Neodiprion lecontei: one gene and its partner. The protein of the gene in region 1 interacts with the protein of each later gene in a pairwise test. Links are inferred from orthologs where the notes say so. Each region holds a gene or a part of one and is shown on either strand. Other genes may lie near its edges.

Region 1 (11,228 bases):
CAATTATTACAGTATCATTTTTTTTTTTTTTTAACTTTAACACATGTATAAAAGATACAAATGAAACTATATAGTATTAGCATACTATACACGTGAGAAAATAATGTAATGATTAGTGGTTAGAAATGGTCGTAACTAATTAAAATACAAAATTTAATATTTATCGCACCCTTTAAATTCTTTTAAGACGTAATGTTTATAATAATTTCTCATGATGAAACTCAATTCCCAGTTACTGCAAACAACGACAGTCATCCAAATCATAAACCAGTATCATGAAATCAACATTACAGAGGATTTTTTAACAATAATTCCATATTCTTACACGTGATAAGATTGGATGATACAAGTTCTAATAACGTTGGTTGTTTTTGTTGTCTTCAATAATTAAAATATTTCAAAGTGGTACATCATGAGGAGGGATTGCAACTGTTACCTCTGGCAATGTCAGTCGAAGACGACAAAACTGAAATATTCATGTTCAAATTTTATCTTGTAAGTCTTACCTCTCATATTCTTTTAAAGCACTTTTTTCCCAAGTAATAAGATTTGCAATTTTTATTGTTAAAAATCGAAATGCTGGGCTCAAACTAAGTTTAAATGACTCAAACTGTGTTAATGTAACTGATTATAATTTTCACACTGGATTAACAGGACAATTGGACAATGGACCATTGAACTACCAAAAATCATAACTTATATGACTATAACAATGATCAAGACGTGTATTCAAAACATACAAAAACTGGAATCAGTATTTCGACTATATAATTATTTAATATTCTCAAATAAATCGGTCATTACTGTTCTACAGAAAACATGACCTGACTAAAGGGAGGGGGTTAAATTCGTAGCATACAACTTGACATCTAAAAAAATCTATACAGATTATCTGGTGTGGTTAATTATGTTAGTATGATAATGTACTAATCAGAAAACAAGTTTTAATTTAGTTTCAATATAAAATACAATCTATACGTTATGTAAATAGAGTAAACTATGATGAAAGAGTAAAGCCATACATAAAAAAAAATTATTCGGGTCTTGTGCATAAATTTATAAAATTTTTATTTTTTTTATCATATTGTTTATTGGTTCAAATTTTCATATGCTGTATAAAATCGAAATCAATGAATATAATAACCTGAGGTGTTGACGTGTAACAATATATGGTGTGTAAATTTCAGTAATAAAAAATATTGCAGCAAATTTTTGATTCCCTGTAGTAGATTAAACTTTACTGATGTTATAAATCAAACTGTCGATTAACATAAAAATTGCGAAAACTAATCCTTGTTAAGGTAATCAAGGTTTTCTTACGTTAATGAAGAAAATATTTCCTCTTCACAAGTAAAAAGTGATATTAACAATGTGCAACAGGATAAACAATTGAATTTTTCATACAAGAATGTCATTCGCTGCTGCATTCGAAATTGGGTTTTCTTACATAATATACATTTTTATTAGGTACACATTGCTAACTTCACTGTACAATTGATAACGAAACAAGAAGAATTGAGCCTTAAAAACATTTTCGATGTACAATAGATGCACCTGATTCATCATATTCCTGTTTAGATATCCACATTTGTTGGAAGGTACTCAAGCTTGCAAGAATAGATCCTCCGATCCATACCGAATACTTTCTTTCTGGTGGTGCAATTATCTTTATTTTCATAGTCGACGGAGCCAGAGCAGTGATCTCCTTCTGCATTCTGTCCGCGATTCCAGGATACATTGTTGTGCCACCAGACAGTACAGAATTGGCATAGAGATCTTTACGAATATCAACGTCACATTTCATAATGGAATTATACGTAGTTTCATGAATACCACATGCCTCCATCCCTAAGAAACTTGGTTGGAACATTGCTTCCGGGCAACGGAAACGTTCGTTACCGATTGTTATGACCTGGAAAATAGAGTTCCAAAACAGTGTTCTATTTCAGCAGTTTCTATACTGGCGTTATCTTACCTGTCCGTCGGGCAGTTCGTAACTTTTTTCTAAAGCACTGGACCCAGCAGCTGTTGCCATTTCCTGCTGAAAGTCTAGAGCTATGTAGCAAAGTTTCTCCTTAATATCCCTCACGATTTCCCTCTCAGCAGTTGTTGTAAAGGAATATCCTCTTTCGGTCAAAATTTTCATCAGATAATCGGTTAGATCGCGCCCAGCCAAGTCCAAACGTAAAATTGCATGTGGCAGAGCATATCCTGTATTACAACGCAAGTTATTCATTGCAACATTTATATCGACACAAACTAATATTAAGATGTAAGAACTAGCATTACTCGTGATCGACATTATAACTCTAAGCCAATGGCGCTACACCAACTATTATTGCTCTTGATACTACCTTCCTTTTATAATGGCAACGATCACATTGGATTACATCTTATAATAGAATCTAAACGTTATAGAAGATAATTTTAAATTACTGTACATGCTGATTTAGAAAGTTAAGAATTACAATGACATTGAAAAAAATGTTGAAATTGTAATTTGGTTTATGTAACTATGACTAAACACTTCTTCTTACCCTCGTAAATAGGGACCGTATGCGATACACCATCTCCGCTATCCAACACTATGCCTGTGGTCCTTCCTGACGCGTACAGAGATAGGACAGCTTGGATAGCGACGTACATGGCTGGTGAGTTGAAAGTTTCGAACATGATCTGTGTCATTTTTTCGCGATTTGTTTTCGGATTTAATGGGGCTTCTGTGAGAAGTACAGGATGTTCTTCCGGGGCGATTCTGAGTTCGTTGTAGAATGTATGATGCCAAATTTTTTCCATATCATCCCAATTTGTAACAATACCATGTTCGATAGGATATCTTACTGTGAGTACCCCTCTCTTACTTTGAGCCTCATCTCCGACGTAACTATCTTTTTGTCCCATACCGACCATTATACCCTGGAAATATTGTAATAGTTGTTCATGAATAGACAAAAATGTGCAACATTACAGTCGAATCATTTGATATGATGTAGACTATTTGAATTTGAATACTACTGTGAAGTATTGGCAGACCAATGTTACCTGGTATCGGGGTTTTCCAACGATCGATGGAAAAACAGCCCTTGGAGCATCATCTCCGGCGAATCCTGCTTTGCACATGCCTGATCCATTGTCGACAACAAGTGCAGCCACATCGTCGTCACACATTTTAAAACACTAGAATATATAGATAACGTTTTAGTGAGACTCTGGGAATGTCAGTTAAAAAGTCAAAAAACATACTTCTCAACTTACATCGCGTTTGTTTGGGACTAATGAAACCAACTGACTAGACAGTACACGATCCTTGTGGTATGTTAGTCTCTCGTAGAGTGCGGAATTGCAGTTGAGAAAGGAGTTTTATACGATCTCCCTTCTCCTGCTCAAATGCTGTTGCTGTAATCAGGTCTCATCCTGTCTCTTGATTCTTGTATGCTCCAAATATCAGGATCATCATTTTCAGCATACTTATGTGACGAACAATTATTTTCCATAAGCGCGAATTAAATTGTGTAAAAAGATTCATTTCTGTTTTGTTCACTGCAACTGGTGTACAATTGTATGATTGTTATTTGAAAAATTGCTTAGTAGTCAAAAGCTGTAAGTTAAGTTGCAGTTGATTGATGAATTATTTGAAAAAATGAATTATCGTTGCTGAAGCTGCTGTACAACTAGAAAATAATTATAAACACTATTAAATTTGACTGTCTTACTACCATATTTTCGTAATGATGCAATAGTAGATGTGACACAAAATTGATAGGGATCCCAACGACTATCTTTAAAAAAGTACAAAATAGTATATGCACCAATTAGTTAATTGCACTTTACCATATCGCACTGATTGAACGCACAGTGCCTGAAGCAACCAGAGCATGCAGAATATTTTCTTTCCCTGCTTCACCTACTGGGTGTAAAGAGAAATTTATCGGATTCACTTCACATATTTGAGATAAAGCGTTTCAATGTAACAAAGTTATTGCTATTATTTTTCATCCATTTATCATTATCTTCTACAAATTGATCATATCAATCTGTACTAAACTGAAAAAAATTCTTTATTCTGTTTTCATTCACTGTTTACAGATATTGCACCACATGTAGAAGATGGGCAAGCTGATTGATGACTATTCGCGATAATGACCTTGAATCTGGTAGACTTATTGCTATTGTCAGCTTATGAAGGAGGTGAAATTTCAAAGAGAACAATTGGTGTCAGTTTCAATACTGAGTTACTAAATACGATTACGTTTCATAAATTCTGGTATGTAAAGTTCTTTCTGATTTCAAGTTCATGATAACATCTGACGCCCTCCAACCATCTCGTTAACTGTTCTACCTGCTATAATTGTATCAGAAGTCATATCAGTACTAATTTAGTGACTAACGTCATTTGACAATGCTGATAATTGCTATTTCTGTGACATATGTGCTTGTTAAAATATGGTAAGTATGTAGATAGAACTCAGTTTCATCGGTTGCGTGGCAGAGTTTCCCATTGCTGTGAAACAATGATAACAGCATGAGCTTTGTTGATAAAACACGATACTATTGTCTCGAAAAATCACTATTGTTATAAAAGTATAAAATTAAGTTGGGTATTCCCCGGTGCCAGGAAGATACATCTGCATTATATATCTTCTTCAAACATCCGGTTCGATTTATGTTATAGATACGCGAAAACCTGCATATTTGCACAAAGTGATCTGACAATTTTTCTGCATAAACTTTTTAAAACTCCAAAACTAGTTTTCAGTTTTTTGTAGAAAGTTATAAAATTTTTTTTCGAATACTGGAAAAAAAAAATATCCAAGACTTGTAACATCTGTTCAGAATCTGTTTCAGAAACGCAAAAAATGCAAGAGTATTATAAATCTTCCTACCAGAAAGAGATAAGAAACTTTCTCAAAGTAATTGGAACCCATTGCTGACCACAATAGAATAATTTGACTTTCTTTTTATATCTATTACTCGAATACAAATTTGCGATAATAATAAAAGAAATTCGTTTATTTCGTCTAAATAATGAATGAATCACGAGCAGTAGGAAAGTTTTATTCAAGCAACATATCATGACTGCTATCGTGAACTTGAGAAAAGCAGTGTTCCAGAGACTGACCATGAAGAGAGGCATTATTATAATCACTGCATTACATTAATTAATTACCTATTTGGCTAGTTACATTAATTAGACCATGAAGCAATGTAGTTGAACTCCAATGCAATGGTTGAAAATACCGTGCCCAAGTAAATTCTTGAATGTTTTACTCAGTCAATTTTTTCGGCAATAGTATTCAAAACCTGAGTTGTACATCGATTCATACGAAAATTCCTGGGACTGATTATATGAATTTCTCTCTCCTGCCGTAAATGTGTCTTTTAAGGAATTTCCAAATTGTCATTTAATCGATAGAAATATATTTACAAAAGTCAGTTATCTTTATTTAAACATATATTGTATGTATACTACATATACATAAGTATGTATATCCATGGATTATTCACTTGCAGCACCTGACCAACATTGCTTAAATCGAAATTGAACTAATCAGTAGCTAATCTTAATTCAAATTATTCTCCAATTTATGATAATATATACAGACGGCAAATTGTGGAATCACATTTTCGTAGTTCTTTACTTTGTGAGGCCCCTAGCTCTAAGAACAACTCAGATTAAACATATGTTTTACATCCTTTTGAAACCCGAAATATTTACCTACACAAGTCATTGACAAATTAATTAACGCAGATTTTCGAAACCGTATTCATTTGAAAACGATTTTCTCCTAAGTATCATAGTACGCAATAGCATACATCGGGTAACTCATAGTTTAGCATAATAAATAATAAAAGTGTTTAGTGCATAAAGCACAACGCGTCATAAAATCAGTACTCAGCCATCAGTTAGGTGAATATCAATGAGTTTGCACTGCATAATTAATACGATGCTGTAGAATAAATGGGGAACAATCACTCTAAACTTGATGAAGTCATCATTATTTATCCCAAAGACCTATTTCCTTCATTCTTGTTTGAAAATATTTTTCCAACGCATTGGCACATCTATAATATTCCGTATCCGGGCTGTTGTACAATCGACAATTTGTAAATATTCGTGTCATATCAGCTATAAACAATCGCCGAGTTACATAATATCTGGCCTTAAGACGGTCGCTCATAGTTTTTAAGTCTGAAAATATGACAAAATCATTAATCATCATTATCTTTATTACAATAATCGATGCATATGTAACATATTTACCCATTGGATATTTGATGTGATCATAATAATCAGGGACATCATTTTTATCAACAGGCTTTAGGAACGGCCATGCAGTGCTATTATTTTTCACAGTATTCAAAACACTTTTTAAGGCGTTGTATAATGAATCTGTCACATCCAAACAAGCCTCCATTGGCTCTGGTCCCTGCGTTCCTTTCGCGACGCCTCTCGTTCTTGTTTGAGCATAACTTTTCCATCCAGTTTCCCGTATTCCTGGGATAGATTCTACAGGAATTCCTCGCACACCCTCTTTGAAGCAGGTCAGGCCAGGATGCACCTTTTGTATTTCTTGTTGCCTTTGATATATCAATTTTTTGATTATTTCTTTCTGTTTTCTTATAACTGCAGTGAATTCTGTGTACACAATTTTAGCGTTAAGTTCACAGTGCATCAGAGTAGCACCTTCGTAGTCTTTGATATACCCTTGGTACATGGGTCTAGACATTTTTATGTCCTTGCTAAAACCCTGCTTCTTGAAGTACCCGATCGCAAATTCATCAGCAAACGTTAAAAAGTGCAGTATATTGTTTTTTATATGATAATCCTTGAGCATGTTCATCAAGTGTGTACCGTATCCTTTGACTTGCTCTTGACTTGTCACAGCGCAAAATACGATTTCCGTAAATCCTTGGGTTGCAAACATTCGGAAACAAATTCCACCAATAGGCCTACCATCTTTGATAAGCGCCAAAGTTTTATGTTTTCTGTTTAAAGATATTAAAAGAGAACCAGAAGTAAGAATGAAACTTGAAAGTTTTGTAAAAGAGATAAGAATTACTCACGGATCGAAGACTAGTTGAGATATATATTCTTTTGGCATTCTGGGTAATTGGTGACTGAAAACGTTGTGTAATCCTATCAACCAGAGCATAGTTTGCTTCGATACTGGTTGTGTCAGGCTGTTTCCAATGACATGGAACTCTATAATCTTTCGACTTTCCTCAATTTTTGCAGTTTCGTCTCTCGGCACATTTGGTGGGAAGACTGCGTCAGGTCCGCACATGTAGTTAGGATCATTTATCGTCGCTACAATTTCTGCTACAGTTTCTTCCGGCAAGTCTTCGAAAGCTTCTTCATTTTTACGTCTTTTCAAATCAGGCCTTCCCTCTGAGTGAGATCGTTTTTCAGGAAGTTTTTTTAGCCCTGGGCTTATATTTATTGTCGTATAATTGTCTTTGTCATTGTGCGCTACACTGATTTTCTCGAATTCACCAGGCCGTCGTGAGTGATTCCCCTTTGATTCTAAGGCAGCTTGTAAATGTGATGGCGGTACTTGTTTGAACTCTGGATCCCATATAGGAGAGCCATCAGAGTATATTTCTACTTCTAGCATAGATAAAAACCTGTGGATCAGAAAATGTGGCATGTAGTGATTTGGAATATACATTTGGAATTAGTACAATCGAAAGTTTCTGTCTGTTATAAATCTAAGATTTAAGGAAAAACGTTACACATACTTGGGAAAGTGCGTCAGGACTAGAACTCTCTTTTCAGGTGACATTCTGTCTCGTTCGCTATGACATTTGTCCATGAGTTGTCTGCAGACTGATTTGAATACAGCTTGAAGTAAAGTTCTTCCAAATACGAGTGTAGTATCGTAATGTGGTAAAGAATCGCAGAAAGCTGGTACATGACAAAAGACAAGCCAGCGTGTGTAGTTTATTTTATATGCGGGTGCTTCTTCGGCGTTACCAGCAGTTCTTCTAGCACTTGGAGTCTCGAAATTCCAATGATTTAAACAGTGCAAAAACATCTTGGCTAAATCGTACATCGCTTGCCATTCGCGTTGGGATAAATGGCCAAATTTGTAGAGCACAAAATTAGTTATAGCCTTGGCTATGCTAGGCCTCTCAAAAGGCGGCTGACCCAGAGGTCCCTCTATTGTCGGTTTAGTCATAGACAGGATACATTTTCGCAAAAGTTTAAATAAATAGTAATAGACTTTTTTTGTATCCGGATCCTCCTCCCTGTGCATTCCCATGAAAATGTTATCAACATCGATGACCATGCCGAGTAGTTTGTTAATTTCGTCATCGCTTTGGGATTGCAGATGTGTGATATGCTTTTCAAGCACATGGGTGCAGCTTCGACATGGATCGGAAAAGTTAGCAGCTGGTTGCTGCATGTCATTCTTTGGACACTTAGTCAATGGTTGAGCGTTCTTCCATCCGTTGCATTTGCACTCGTCGGCTTGGCATGAGCTGTAATTTGCCAGTTTCAATAGCTTTTTTAACTGGGGCCAATTAAAAACTTGATGTTTGCGTTGCTGAATCCTCTGCAAGTTGTTCTGGCGACTAGCTTGGTCCGTACCTCGTGGCGAACTTGACTCTGCGCTGTTACTGCTCACGAGGTTTTGAGATGTACTTGTCACGGACTGCACTCGATCCTCAGACGACATACCTGACATGGTTCTGGTAGTTTCATCCATTGAAATGATTTTCTAAAATTACTACACCTGAAAAATATCAAATTTATGACAATGTTTATGTTCAATAGCATGTTTCTTGATTTCCCAGATTTGTATAATGAATTATCAGTGGGAATTAAAATGTGTATTACTTTGGATTATATATTCAAATCAGAAATTATCGTATCTATGAATTAAAAATCAATTACTGATTTTTTACCAAGAAATAGCTGGTTATCGACTCTACTCATTGAAGGAAAATTGAATTTTGAACTTTGCGAGAAGGGTAAATTCAAGGTTACGCAGGCCGGGTAAATTGTTGACAAAACATTGAGACAAAGTACGTGATGTGAATTTGAAATTGAAGTCAATGCGACGCAAAATCGTTACGAAATAACCGAGATTTTCATTCGTGAGATACCCGATGAGTATAATTATCGTTGGCGCAATGTCCTTTTTGACAGTTTTAATTTTTCGCGCAAATATCGATGGCTGTGGGTTGTGCGTACAGCTGAGAAAAAAAATACTCTCAAGTAGGGATTATTTAATCATTTATCATCACCACGTCGAGGGTATTCCAAGTGCGGATAATTAAACATGTATGATAAATAGGTCTAAATTTACGACAAGAACAATAATGAATTGTAATATGTTTATTTACCAAAGCTTCCGTTCACATATTATTGTAACGCTGCGCCTCCATTTGTTACGTGATTTTAGTTCGTCCGAACGCCACGTTCTCAAGTGATTCGCACGGAGCGTTTGCCTACTTTTAATTTTGATTTAACGCTGGTAAGAAATAAGTAAAAATATTCCACCTTACTTTCCTTATCAATATTCGCAACGCTGCGCTAGTCGTCGGATTGAAATACCCCAAACACCCTTAACTAACCCGCGCACAAGTCGACGACGCATTTTATCAGGTATGTGCGTAAATTTACTCCGTTAAAAGATATTGGTTAAACTATGGAGTTTGGTTAGTTCGTTTGAGATCAGCTTATAACCAGATCATTGCACCATATTGCCCCACTCTTGAAGTTTGCAATCCTTCAACTCATTTCCAGAAAGTCGTTGGAGGCAAGCCACCCTCTGGTGGAGTCAGAAGCCGGGGAAGTCCCTTTGCCATTGCGGCATTGCCATGGCAAGCTGGGATGGGTCTTATTATGGGCCTGAGGACCCAAATTTTCATCGGTATTCGGACCAGGGGAACGTGGCGCGCAACTGGAGCTATTATCCTGAGAATGGCTCCAACGTGCAGCCGAGTATCTCGAACCTGGGTCAACAGCACTTAGCCAATGCCTATCAGGATCCGCAAATGGCTGGTGGTACTCAGTATGCAAGGCCACAGCCTTTCTTTGAGAACAATAGATCGCAGCTTAATCTTCCGCCATTCAAATGCAAAAGTGGGAACCCGAATGACAAACTTAAGAAAAAGAATTACCACGGTAAATTACCGTTTGTCCCTCAGCAAACGATTGATCCCAGTGTCGTTGAGAATTCAAACCTGCATGCAACCGCTGGTGAGTTTATACCTAGCTCCTTGAAGGCGCTGCAAACAGCTGGGACAAACTCGTCTGCCAGTAGTAGTGAAAATAATGGCAGAATTATGCTGGAAAATTATGATTCCTCAACTCAGCATTCGGGAAATTTGACCTTCCACGATTCGAACATGCCGAAAGTTGACCATGTGGATATTAGAAATAAGCGAGATAAGAAGGATAGGAAATATGATGCAAATAAAAAAGGCGATAGTTATAAGCAGAGGGATACTCAGGATGCTCAATATCAAAATACCAATTTGTTTAAGAATTCTGTCAGGAATCAGAATCCGAAGAATCGCAGATTCCAAAATGATAGGTATTCTAACACCAGACATTATTCGGATAATAGTTCTAATTATACGAGCGATAAGGATAGCGATAGAAGAAAATGGACAGGTAATTCCAGTGTTCGAGAAAATTTTGAAAACGGTTCATATCACGGTGAAGAAGACGCAACTCAATCTGTGGAGGGGACTGTTAATAAGCACTATAAAACCTCTAGACATGATAATACCCGACAATCTGGTGGTTCAGCCAAGTATTACGGCGATCAAAATTATTCTAGTCACAATTCTGAGATGAAGTACAGTCAAACGGGTGGTAAGAGTGTTAGAAGATATTTTAATGAAGATCGTGGAGAACGGTATCGTGATAAAAGAGACAGATACAGTGATAAGTATGAATCTGGGATCAGGGAGAAGAAAACTAGCTATGCAGATTACAATGGATACAAAAATAATTATGAAAGAGAGGAAAGAGGGGAACGGAGCAGAGACAAGGATAAATCTAAGGATAAGGATAATTCAAAAGGTATCAGGGATAAAGAGATTGAAAATTGGCGATACAAGAATGACGAAGATGTCAAAGGAGGAAGTAACATGAAGCGATTGAGTAACAAAAGATCGGAGAAAGGTAAGAGATCAATCACCCTTACTTTTGGGATGACATTTATTTTACAGTGTGTCATATCTGGAAATTACTTACACTCATTTTTTTC
Region 2 (9,537 bases), about 5.2 Mb from region 1:
GTACACTGATATAGGTTAAGGGGGGTGGGTACATCAGTGATAAAATTTCAAAATTTTTTTTACATTTGCACGATGCTTCGACCTTTGACTAATCCCTTCCCAAACATGAGGTCAAATTTTTTTTAAATGTCGGAGTTACAAAGAATCTTGTATTCGAACCCCAAACAGCAAGATGCAGTCTATCCGCCACTGTATTGTAAGAGGCATTTGTTACCAGGTTACCATGTCAACCGCAGTAAATAACGTAAGTTTTCTCTGTAAATAAGTACTTGCGAATTCGTGGTGAGTTGAAAAAACACCGATGCTTTGACGTAATGAAGCAATCCTGCAACTTTAAACGCGTTTTTCTCGAATCCAAGTTTTTCAAATCGGTGCACATGATAATTCGTTAACTATTTTACAAATGAATTGAAATTTGGACAGCATATGCTTCATTCCCTTATTTTAGAATTCAGTCGGCCAGATTGTTGATAAATTTATTTTTCCACTTTTTTAACTCGACTCACTGTGCAAGACAGTGATAACTCGTTGCTTCTTTTGTTCATACAGTCGCCATTTTTGTAAATTTTCTAAATTAAAAAATGTAGTTAACTGAAGTTCTAGTTTCATATCGTAACTTCAAAATGAGGTTTTGTTTTTTTGGTTCAGACGAGCCTTTTAGCCGGAAGGCTGTCTAGCGCTAAAAAGGGGCTTTCCACTCAACCAGCTGCCACGCGCGCCATTTTGAATATTTTCTGATAAAAAAATTAGCATATATACCTACTTGAATATGTGTACATTCATATAAAAAAAGTGATAGTACAAATGCAATAGAATCACAGAAAAAAAGATCCGCGTTTTTTTTCGTTCTCTAATGTACCCACCGCCCTTAAAACAAGGAATGAGATAAAATAAAATTGGACAAGGAATGAGATAAAATAAAATTAAAGATAGAGATAACAGGTAGAGTAGAATTGAGGGAAATATGAAAAAAAAAACGAAAATGTGAGCTGTCACGAAAAACAATGAAAATTAAGTCGGTCCCGCCAAGAGGGAAGAGAGAGAGAGAGAGGGGGGGGGGGGGGGGATCAAATCGCTTCATTGTTACCATGATTATGAAGCGAAGCAATCTATAATCATCGTGCAGTATGTGTTACGTATAATTACAATGAATGGCAAAGTACTTTTGACTGCCATTGTCCACTGGTTGCTATTTTACGGTAACAACAGTTCAGTACTGACAAGTCGAGTGCCACTATTTAATACGATGCGAAACTGCGTTTCGTAAGCGAGGCAGCCACGAGAAGTCGTAAATCATATGGGTTTATGGCCCAATAAAATGATAAAGTAATAATGCCGTGAAGTACCGACTTCATCAAAACTGAATAATTATCACGTGAAAATGTGTTACAAAATCTCCTCATGGACAGAGATTATCCAGTGCCATAATCAGACATCGTTTCTGTCGTTATTGCCCGCACATCGTGCGGCGGCCAAGGCCCTCCAAATACTGCTGAACGCACGTCTCATATCCACTGGAGAAGTGCCCGTAGTAACACTGACCACGAATCTAACGAAGGCTACGAATTGATTATTGAGTCCATTGATATTGACATGCTCAACGGTTGTCACGTTCAAACCACTGCAGAACTTCCTTTACCCCCCATGTGGTTAAATTTGCTGTTGGAGGTTTAGTATCCAAATACCCGGTTTCGGGAAGAAAGAAAGAAAATAATAGACATCGAGCAGGGTACTATTTAACCAAGTGTGACTGATGATAACTTGATTGGTTGCAACGAAATCTCCCTTGTAAAACTAACCACAGAACTCTAAAACCCCAAATACGGGTAAGAAATAATGATGTCATTCGCATTACAACCCGCAAAAAAAAAACTGATGGACTGCGACTCCTGCCCCACACGATAATCATATGATCAAAAGGTGACAAAACTTGAACAATTAAAACGTTATTTCTAGGAAATTGATAGTTCATTCACAAGTGCAGGTATTCGCATTGTGAATTTGTATTGAGAGGCGAACTTGATAAGTGACGCGAAGAGGCACCCATTAGAGCACGTCGTGAAGAATCTTCGTCGCCTTCGAACGGTAACCAAGCGACCAAGCTATCATCATTGATCTTAATCGCAAATTATTTTGCAAAACCATGCTCGGAATGCAGACTGCCTTGCCGGCTGCCAGGTGAAAACCGGTGCTGGGCCGGTAGATAATCAGGCCGGAGGTGAAGTACACCGTACACCATACGTGCGTGTTGGATTCTGACCCCACTTTTAAACGGCAACGCGTAGTCGAGAGGGTCAGTGTACAACAGGCTGGGTAGACGTCGTTGGGCCGTTAAGGGTAATTATTGAGGGTATCGGACGCCATAGCGTTGTGGTTCCCTTCACAGAGAATAAAAATCCATACACGACATTTCGCAGAAACTAATGACAGCACAACCTTCATCCATGTCCATGATACGATAGAGATGGTCGTCTCTGTCGCATGTACAAGAATTTACAGTTATGCAGAATAAGAGCTGAAGAGGCTTAATAACTTTACACGAGATGTAACGCATGATTTTTCCAACAACGGAGAAGTCCGTAATGATATTATCTGCCGTTACATCACGCCAACTTACATCTTTCCTTCCAGAGCCCAAGAGCTGTTTACTCCGTAAAAGATAACGAAAAAAAGATGTTTCGGGTATGCAGAATTATAGGACGTTACTTTCGTCCGAAGCAGAACTACGTCTACTATTCGGAGTTAGTAGTTTCGCGATGTTGTGTTCAATAACCACCGCAATGATACGTTCTCAAAGTACCCTCAGAGTAGGGATACTGTCAATTATTTTGACATCCATGTTATCGTGCCAAGGAACGACTTTGGGCTGGGTTAAAAACGAGATGGAAGTTATGCGTGTTTTCAATATTTATAAACAGAGTACATTATAGGAATGAAAGTTGCATCTAGCATTTGTTCAACAATCAATATACAATCAATCGATGATCTCAGAGAACGTATGCCGCGATTTGAGATGGCCTGGTAAGTGGAATATAATTAATTGGGTGCGACGTAAAATGTCCGTCGGATTTGTAAGCAAACTGCATAGTTAGTACTGTAGTGATCTTTTGGTCTGAATGTCTTCCAGAATAGTTCTCATTTCGTCATCTTCCAAACGTCCTTCGAGACTTGGTATCAATGCTTTGGCCTCCTCAGGTGTTTCAGGGCAAAGATTCGCCAATGAAGCCAGTTCAAATTTATGGAGCTTCTTCTGCATCAGTAAACTGTAAAAACAATTAAACGCGTATTAGTAAACCAAATTGCACAGAATGTGAAACGAAATGAATCTCTTCTACTACTGCAATGAGCTCAATCTGCTGCACATACTTTCGAACCGCAGCGATAGTCTCCTTATTCCTGAACTTGCGAAATCGATTAGTGTACGTCAAACTCTTCATGAAAACCTCGGAGAACTCTTGTTCCTCTTCTGCGGATTCGTTCTGTGCCTTCCTGTGTTCCAGCAGCATGTAAACCTCAGATATCAACAGCGTCTCAGCATTTTCAAACTCTGTCAAATAACGAGTTATAGTATTGTAATAGATGTACGAAAAAAAAAATTATTTCGAGTTCCTCCTGGAAACAAATGCAGAGAGGTTTCTCTAATTGCAAGCTCATTCTGTGAAAAACGCGATCAAGTATTTCTTCAAAATTCGTTTCTTGCGTGTATTTTTCTTCTGCCAGCACGTAAAAAGTTTTTCACAGTAGGTTGAAATAGAATTAAATAATGACGCGAGGAATAAGGACGAATAAATGTTATTGTATGAACGTTCCATTCGTCTTCAAACCTTTCAGAATGTAAGAAGACGTGGATAAACAAATTCATCAGTTATTGGTTTGTTTTTGAATTTTAGTTTGGCATGGGTTGTTCGTCTGAATTAGTAGAATGGACTTTTTATTTTTAATGCCAACTCTATAGATGGTAAATGATTGAAATTTGTGAAATTTCAATCCTTTTTGTCGGTCATGTTAAAAATAACAGAATAGGAATACTGGAGGGTTCATTGAGAGTAAAATTGGCATAAATTCACAAAAATAGTAACATTTCTATTCGTATATAAAAGAACAAGCTAACAAAGGACTTAGACTTGAGTTTGTACATTGTAATAAATAATGAAGTCTTAGCCTATTTTAACCAACACATAATCATAAAAATTAATTCACTTGTCAAATGGGCTGTCACAAAGTGTTAATATCACAATGACATTGAAATGTCGAAAAATATTCACATATAACTGCGACGAATCAATTGACCAGTGACGTGTCTTACTGAGCAGGTTTATTGATGTATCCTTCTTCTGCCAAGAAATCATATATTTTTCGCGTCTTGTTAACATCAATCTTCAGAAGAACTCTGGCTTGAGCAAGCCTCAAGCTCCCACATTTTTTATTCTCTGTTATCAACAGGTTTTTGAAGTCAAAGTAGCTTTCAGGTATAACACGAGCATTTGAGCAAAGATCCCGTTCAGCCGGAGTAAGGCGGTCGTATCCAGGAAGCCCTTGAATAATAAGAGGCGGCGGTGCTTTACGTTGGGGAACATTTGGTGCAACATGAGGTGTAGTCTTTACAATGCAGCCAGGTAATACAGTCTGCCAGCAATATTCTGTATTACTCATATACTGCTTTCTCTCTTTTTCATGTTCCATGCGCAGCTTGGCCAACTTTTGAAACATCGGTACTGAGTGAAACCTTGTGATACCATTTCGGCGAAATTCAAATAATCTTCTAATGTAATTTCTTAGTTCACCAGCGTGGTGAAGACCCTCGATTATGTAATCAAAATCCATCCCACTGACAAGTTGCATGAATGTTAGTAATCTTTCGATCAAAGGTCTGGTAAGAGTCGATTCGTACCTTTGAAGCCATGATATGGTTCTACGAAACGAAATAAGCCCATGATTACGTACAATTTTTCTACGCCTTTGCCTTTCTTTGAGTCTGTGATTGTAGGCATTTACTATTGCAACTTGGAGGTTTTTTCCAAGCTCCAAATGCTTGTCGGCAGGACAGAATTCTTCATATTTTAAATCTGAGACTAACAATTCAGCATAATTGTCAAAATTTACTTCGAAATCTGATCTAGCTGCATTGTATCCGGCCAATAATTTGTAGTTTATCGTATTGCTGGCAAATCTTGGCGGGTCTTCAAGATCTTGAAGTTTGTAAAGGTACGGTACAGCCTCGGAGCCAAACAAGCTGACCTCGGTTTCTTTTATCTTCGGTAATCCAGGCAAATTTTGATTGTCTATGAAATTGTGCAGGTAATGCTTCCTGCACTCATCCGGCGACTTGTTCTGCAATCTCCTCGATATATCGTCCCAATTGCCGAATCCACACTCTTGCAAGACATCCAAAAGTTCGAGTTCCTCTTTGGCGGACCAATTGGAACCGGGTATAAGTGGGAATTCGTTTTTTATTATAATGTAATTGTGGTTATTTTTATGTTCCTCAATTTCGGCACCGTTTGAAAAACAGTTGGGACATATCTCTATGTTCAAACACTCGGCGCACTTTATGTATGGCTCGTACAGTGTCGATTTACACACACAACACGCGGGGTCAGAAGTAAGGATTTCTTCCTTCACGACTGATACCTCGAGATCGACGTCGTGTTCCGACTCATTTGCAAAACTCGACGGACAGTCTGAAAGTAAGAAAACCGTTACTCGAGACCTTTGTTCAAGGATGACTGAATTAGTTGCTTAAAACGGTATTTTTTTTCCATATACCATTCAATGCTTTCAAGCCCCATCGTTTTAGGTTATGTCTGCGACGTGAAATTGTTCGCGAAATTATAAAAGTAGCCGCTAATTTCAAAGAAAATTTTACAATTTTCTCACCTTTTGGAAACTGGAGGTCTGCCGCATCCTCTTCAGTCATATCCGTTACATTTGTATTAGCCATTTCTTATGTTTTTTTGAGAAATAACAACGAACTACTTTGCACGGGTAACGCTGTTTACACACAATGCACAATTGCGTGACCGTCGATAAGCGTTGGAAGGAGTTGACTGATCTTCTCACAGATAGCAGCACTTAACGAAAAGCGTGTTTTTTGCCTGTCAAAACGTTACTTCGTCCATCAGATTATCGACGAAGTTAGCAACGAATTCGTCAGGCAGATTCTACCGTACCGATGGAATTCAACAGTCGAATTGAATCGAATATTTGAATATCGCATAATTTGAATTACATTCGAATGGTGCGAAGATTCGAATTGTTTGAAAGATTTAAGTATTCGGAATATTCACATTATGGGACTCCAATTATTCACATACCCTCAACAAAACTTCTTGGCAAGTGTCTGACAACAATGGTGTCTATGAAATTACCAGTATATCTATGAAGGAAGAAAAAAATTATTAATGAAATTTCATAACTTTTCCGAAATCAACAATTTTTCCACGAATAAAGAATCTTATACAGCGATTTGGTTTCGCGCCTTGATAATGAAACTGGAACAAAGGCAGGCGAAGCCTTGACCAAAATGCATCGAAATTATTATTCTGCGTAGGTCGATGTTCATGTATAATAGTCGGACATATTATACATGCAAACGAGTATTTTTTAGCATAATGAATATCTGAGATGAACGGATATAAAATTATGCTTACCACAAGAATTTACGGTGTATAGTATACCTCATAGCTCGCATCGGTAATATTTTGGCAAATTTTGGTTCCAGTTCAGCGAAAGATTTTCTTTCTTAAATTCCATGGGACGCAATGTATTCCTTATAATATATATTTATCCATGAAACGCGTAAAGTCTATGCAACGGTTGTACGGCCTATAAATACTACATAAAATGTAGAATGGCCTGAGGTCACGCTGTGTGTCGACAGAATATTCGATAAAATGATTCGGCAACTGAATAATTAATTCCAGCATGCTAAGCCAATTACCATATTCCAATTTGTTCGTGAAACTCGAATCAAGCTCGCACGAACTCAATAAATTGCTGTCTAATATACTCACATTGTACGATTGTACAATGCAAACATTCTAGTGCAGAATTATTTCAGAGGAATTTTCGAAAGCGGCATAGTAGTTTCTAATCTTGTGGTGCGAAAATTGTCGGTTGGATTTAAAAGTTTGATGTAAAATATCGTAGAACGGCTGAATAGTGGGATGTACAGTTATGCAATAATTATTCGTAAAAAATTTTACAACAGCCAGAAAATTTTATTGCCGAAATGAAATAAACATGCCGGCGATTTCAGTTTTGCAATAAAACAGTTGCGAATACGCAACCACCATCATCCAGCAACATTTCACGTCAAATAAAATGATACAAAGGATATTTTAACCAAGATTTAGAGTCGTAACTGCGTGTCTGAAAACTGCATTTATCCATCAAAATTCGCCATGTGTCTAGCAAAAACTTCTTTTAGTTCGGTTATAATCTTTACTCGATATTCATCTCATGTGAAAAAAACAAAGAGTCGATTATAACGTGATCCAGGTTTTGCGGATGCAGCATTCGTACATCGTGTCGTGGACATACATATTCTTACGATTAGACGTCCTACAAGTATGCCGTACGTGCCTCGAAATTCGAGGTTGTATATTTTATAATTGTAGTTGCCTTTGTGCTTGCCTCGAATGTCAGATAACGTATCTGCAGGGAAAGAATTCGGTAGCACGAGTGACAATGTCGAGAATTAAGACTTCATTTATAGGGTGATCAAAAGGAGCAGAAAAATGATGCGGTTAAATAATCTTCAAATCCGACCGATTCGCCACATCCACCTCAGGTGCGTGAATCACACGAATCTCCAAAAAAATATCTTATTCCAGCTGCATGGCATGTTTTTAATAAATATTGCGTTTTCAAGTGTGCCGAAACCAAAAATGACTTCCATTTCCCTCCAACGCGTACAATATTTTTGCTTGCAAAATAAAAGATGTTCGCGTAAAGAAAGCATAACAATAACGAAAAAACCGCCATTTCATTGCAATGAACTAAAGAATATTTCTCATGAAATTAAACAAACAATTTTTTTATCAAATGTACTCAACATTCCGTGTTCATACATTTTGCTTACGAAACCATTTCTTCTTCTCTTTGATACACCTCCGAACGAGCTTCCGCTTTCCATTTTCTATTTCCCTGCTTGTATTTATTCTTGAGTCTCACTCTGATACATATTAAATGAAAGTAAGAAATCACTTTTGCATAAGATTTTTGGAATCAAGAACAGGATACCAGATTTCGAGTTGAACGGAATATTCACTCCGAATGAAACTACAAACACGAGTTGGAGAAAAAACCTGACGTGATGGAACCTTTTGAGTATTTTTCCCGGTTTCAGTGAGTGAAAATCAATAAGAAATGAATAAAGAATCTGTGCAGTTTTTTGGTTTCAGACCTATGTTACACTTCGGATTCACTACCTTTACGACTTGACGACTCTTCTCTTCTTTACACTGTTATACGCATCGAATTCTTCGTGTCATAAAATACAGGCTCCAAATTGGATTGAATCAAACGGTAAACATCCAGGGTAACTCCTTGCAAGCCTGAAGCCGAGCAATATTAAAACTTGTTTACTCGCACTTGACAGATCGCAGATTGACAAACTGTCAAAGTCAATCGCTGTTACAAGACTCCGAAATCCGTATTTAGTATTCCACTACTAGTGAATATTGAGAATCGAAGCTGTAGATAAAATTTTGTTCAACAGTTGGCATGAGTGAAAAACTTGGTGTACCAAAAACGCAGTCGTCAAAACCCTTCATCATTTCTCTTACGAATCCATCGATAAAATACAGCGTCTTATTCATCCTCATGAAGGTAAACGCGAAACGTTATCTTCTCGACATCGATATGTAAACAACAGAACTGTCGTAACGTCGGATTTCATCGTGGATTCTGAGTGAGAACCAGACGTAAATTAAACGACGGACTTACCTCTCTAGCGCCTACATCGGCTCGTTCCATTGATCCGTTAGAATAATCAACGACCGAATCGTAGAGTGTAATAGAAAACTATGAACATTACGGCGTCGCCTGAGCAGCCGGATTTTTCCAACGCCCGAACTCTTCACTTTCACGAATTCAACGTCGGCGATAGCAAAACGGAAGGACGTCAGGTATTCGGCTTTGCTAGGAAAAATATGTTCGATACCGTCTACAAGCTGACGACGGTCGAAGGGTGAGCGCAGTTTAATTAACTAACTAAAACACGGATCACTCCATATTTTTATAGCTTTCAGGTTAGCTAGAATGATTCGTTTCGAATGAAAAACGAGTCGATTCGAATTCACTCTTATCGAAAATAGAATTGTGATTCTTGCTCTTCAATAATTCGGTTTAACATCGTCGTTCTAAAATATTTGACATTTGGACTTGCAGTTAACGATTCGTTAGCTTCGGGGGGGGGGGGGGGGGGTTACTGCTTGGATCTAAAATCATACCTATTTTTAGGATTTTTTTTAGAGGAAATGAAGACATTTAAAGCAATTTGAGTTTGAGGGCTTTATTATTTATAGTGTCAAA

What was found.
Region 2: the proteins of histone acetyltransferase KAT2A (region 1) and transcriptional adapter 2-alpha interact in a two-hybrid assay, tested with the Drosophila melanogaster proteins (2 studies listed by BioGRID). The link is inferred for Neodiprion lecontei from reciprocal best matches to the Drosophila melanogaster genes Gcn5 and Ada2a.

What each region holds. Positions count from the first base shown.
Region 1 is NC_060263.1:36,087,236-36,098,463, forward strand, and holds histone acetyltransferase KAT2A, read right to left. Parts: upstream 9,447-11,228; 5' UTR 9,352-9,446; intron 8,739-9,351; 5' UTR 8,712-8,738; coding exon 7,741-8,711; intron 7,627-7,740; coding exon 7,066-7,626; intron 6,988-7,065; coding exon 6,263-6,987; intron 6,191-6,262; coding exon 5,997-6,190; 3' UTR 5,129-5,996; downstream 1-5,128. Other genes in the region: actin-5C, read right to left, coding at 1,523-1,912, 1,976-2,211, 2,538-2,916, 3,043-3,168; protein shuttle craft, read left to right, coding at 4,428-4,446, 9,755-11,143.
Region 2 is NC_060263.1:41,256,873-41,266,409, reverse strand, and holds transcriptional adapter 2-alpha, read right to left. Parts: upstream 6,035-9,537; 5' UTR 5,942-6,034; coding exon 5,878-5,941; intron 5,682-5,877; coding exon 4,303-5,681; 3' UTR 3,569-4,302; downstream 1-3,568. UniProt on the Drosophila melanogaster protein: Component of the histone acetyltransferase (HAT) complex ATAC; predominantly involved in acetylation of histone H4, including at Lys-6 (H4K5ac) and Lys-13 (H4K12ac).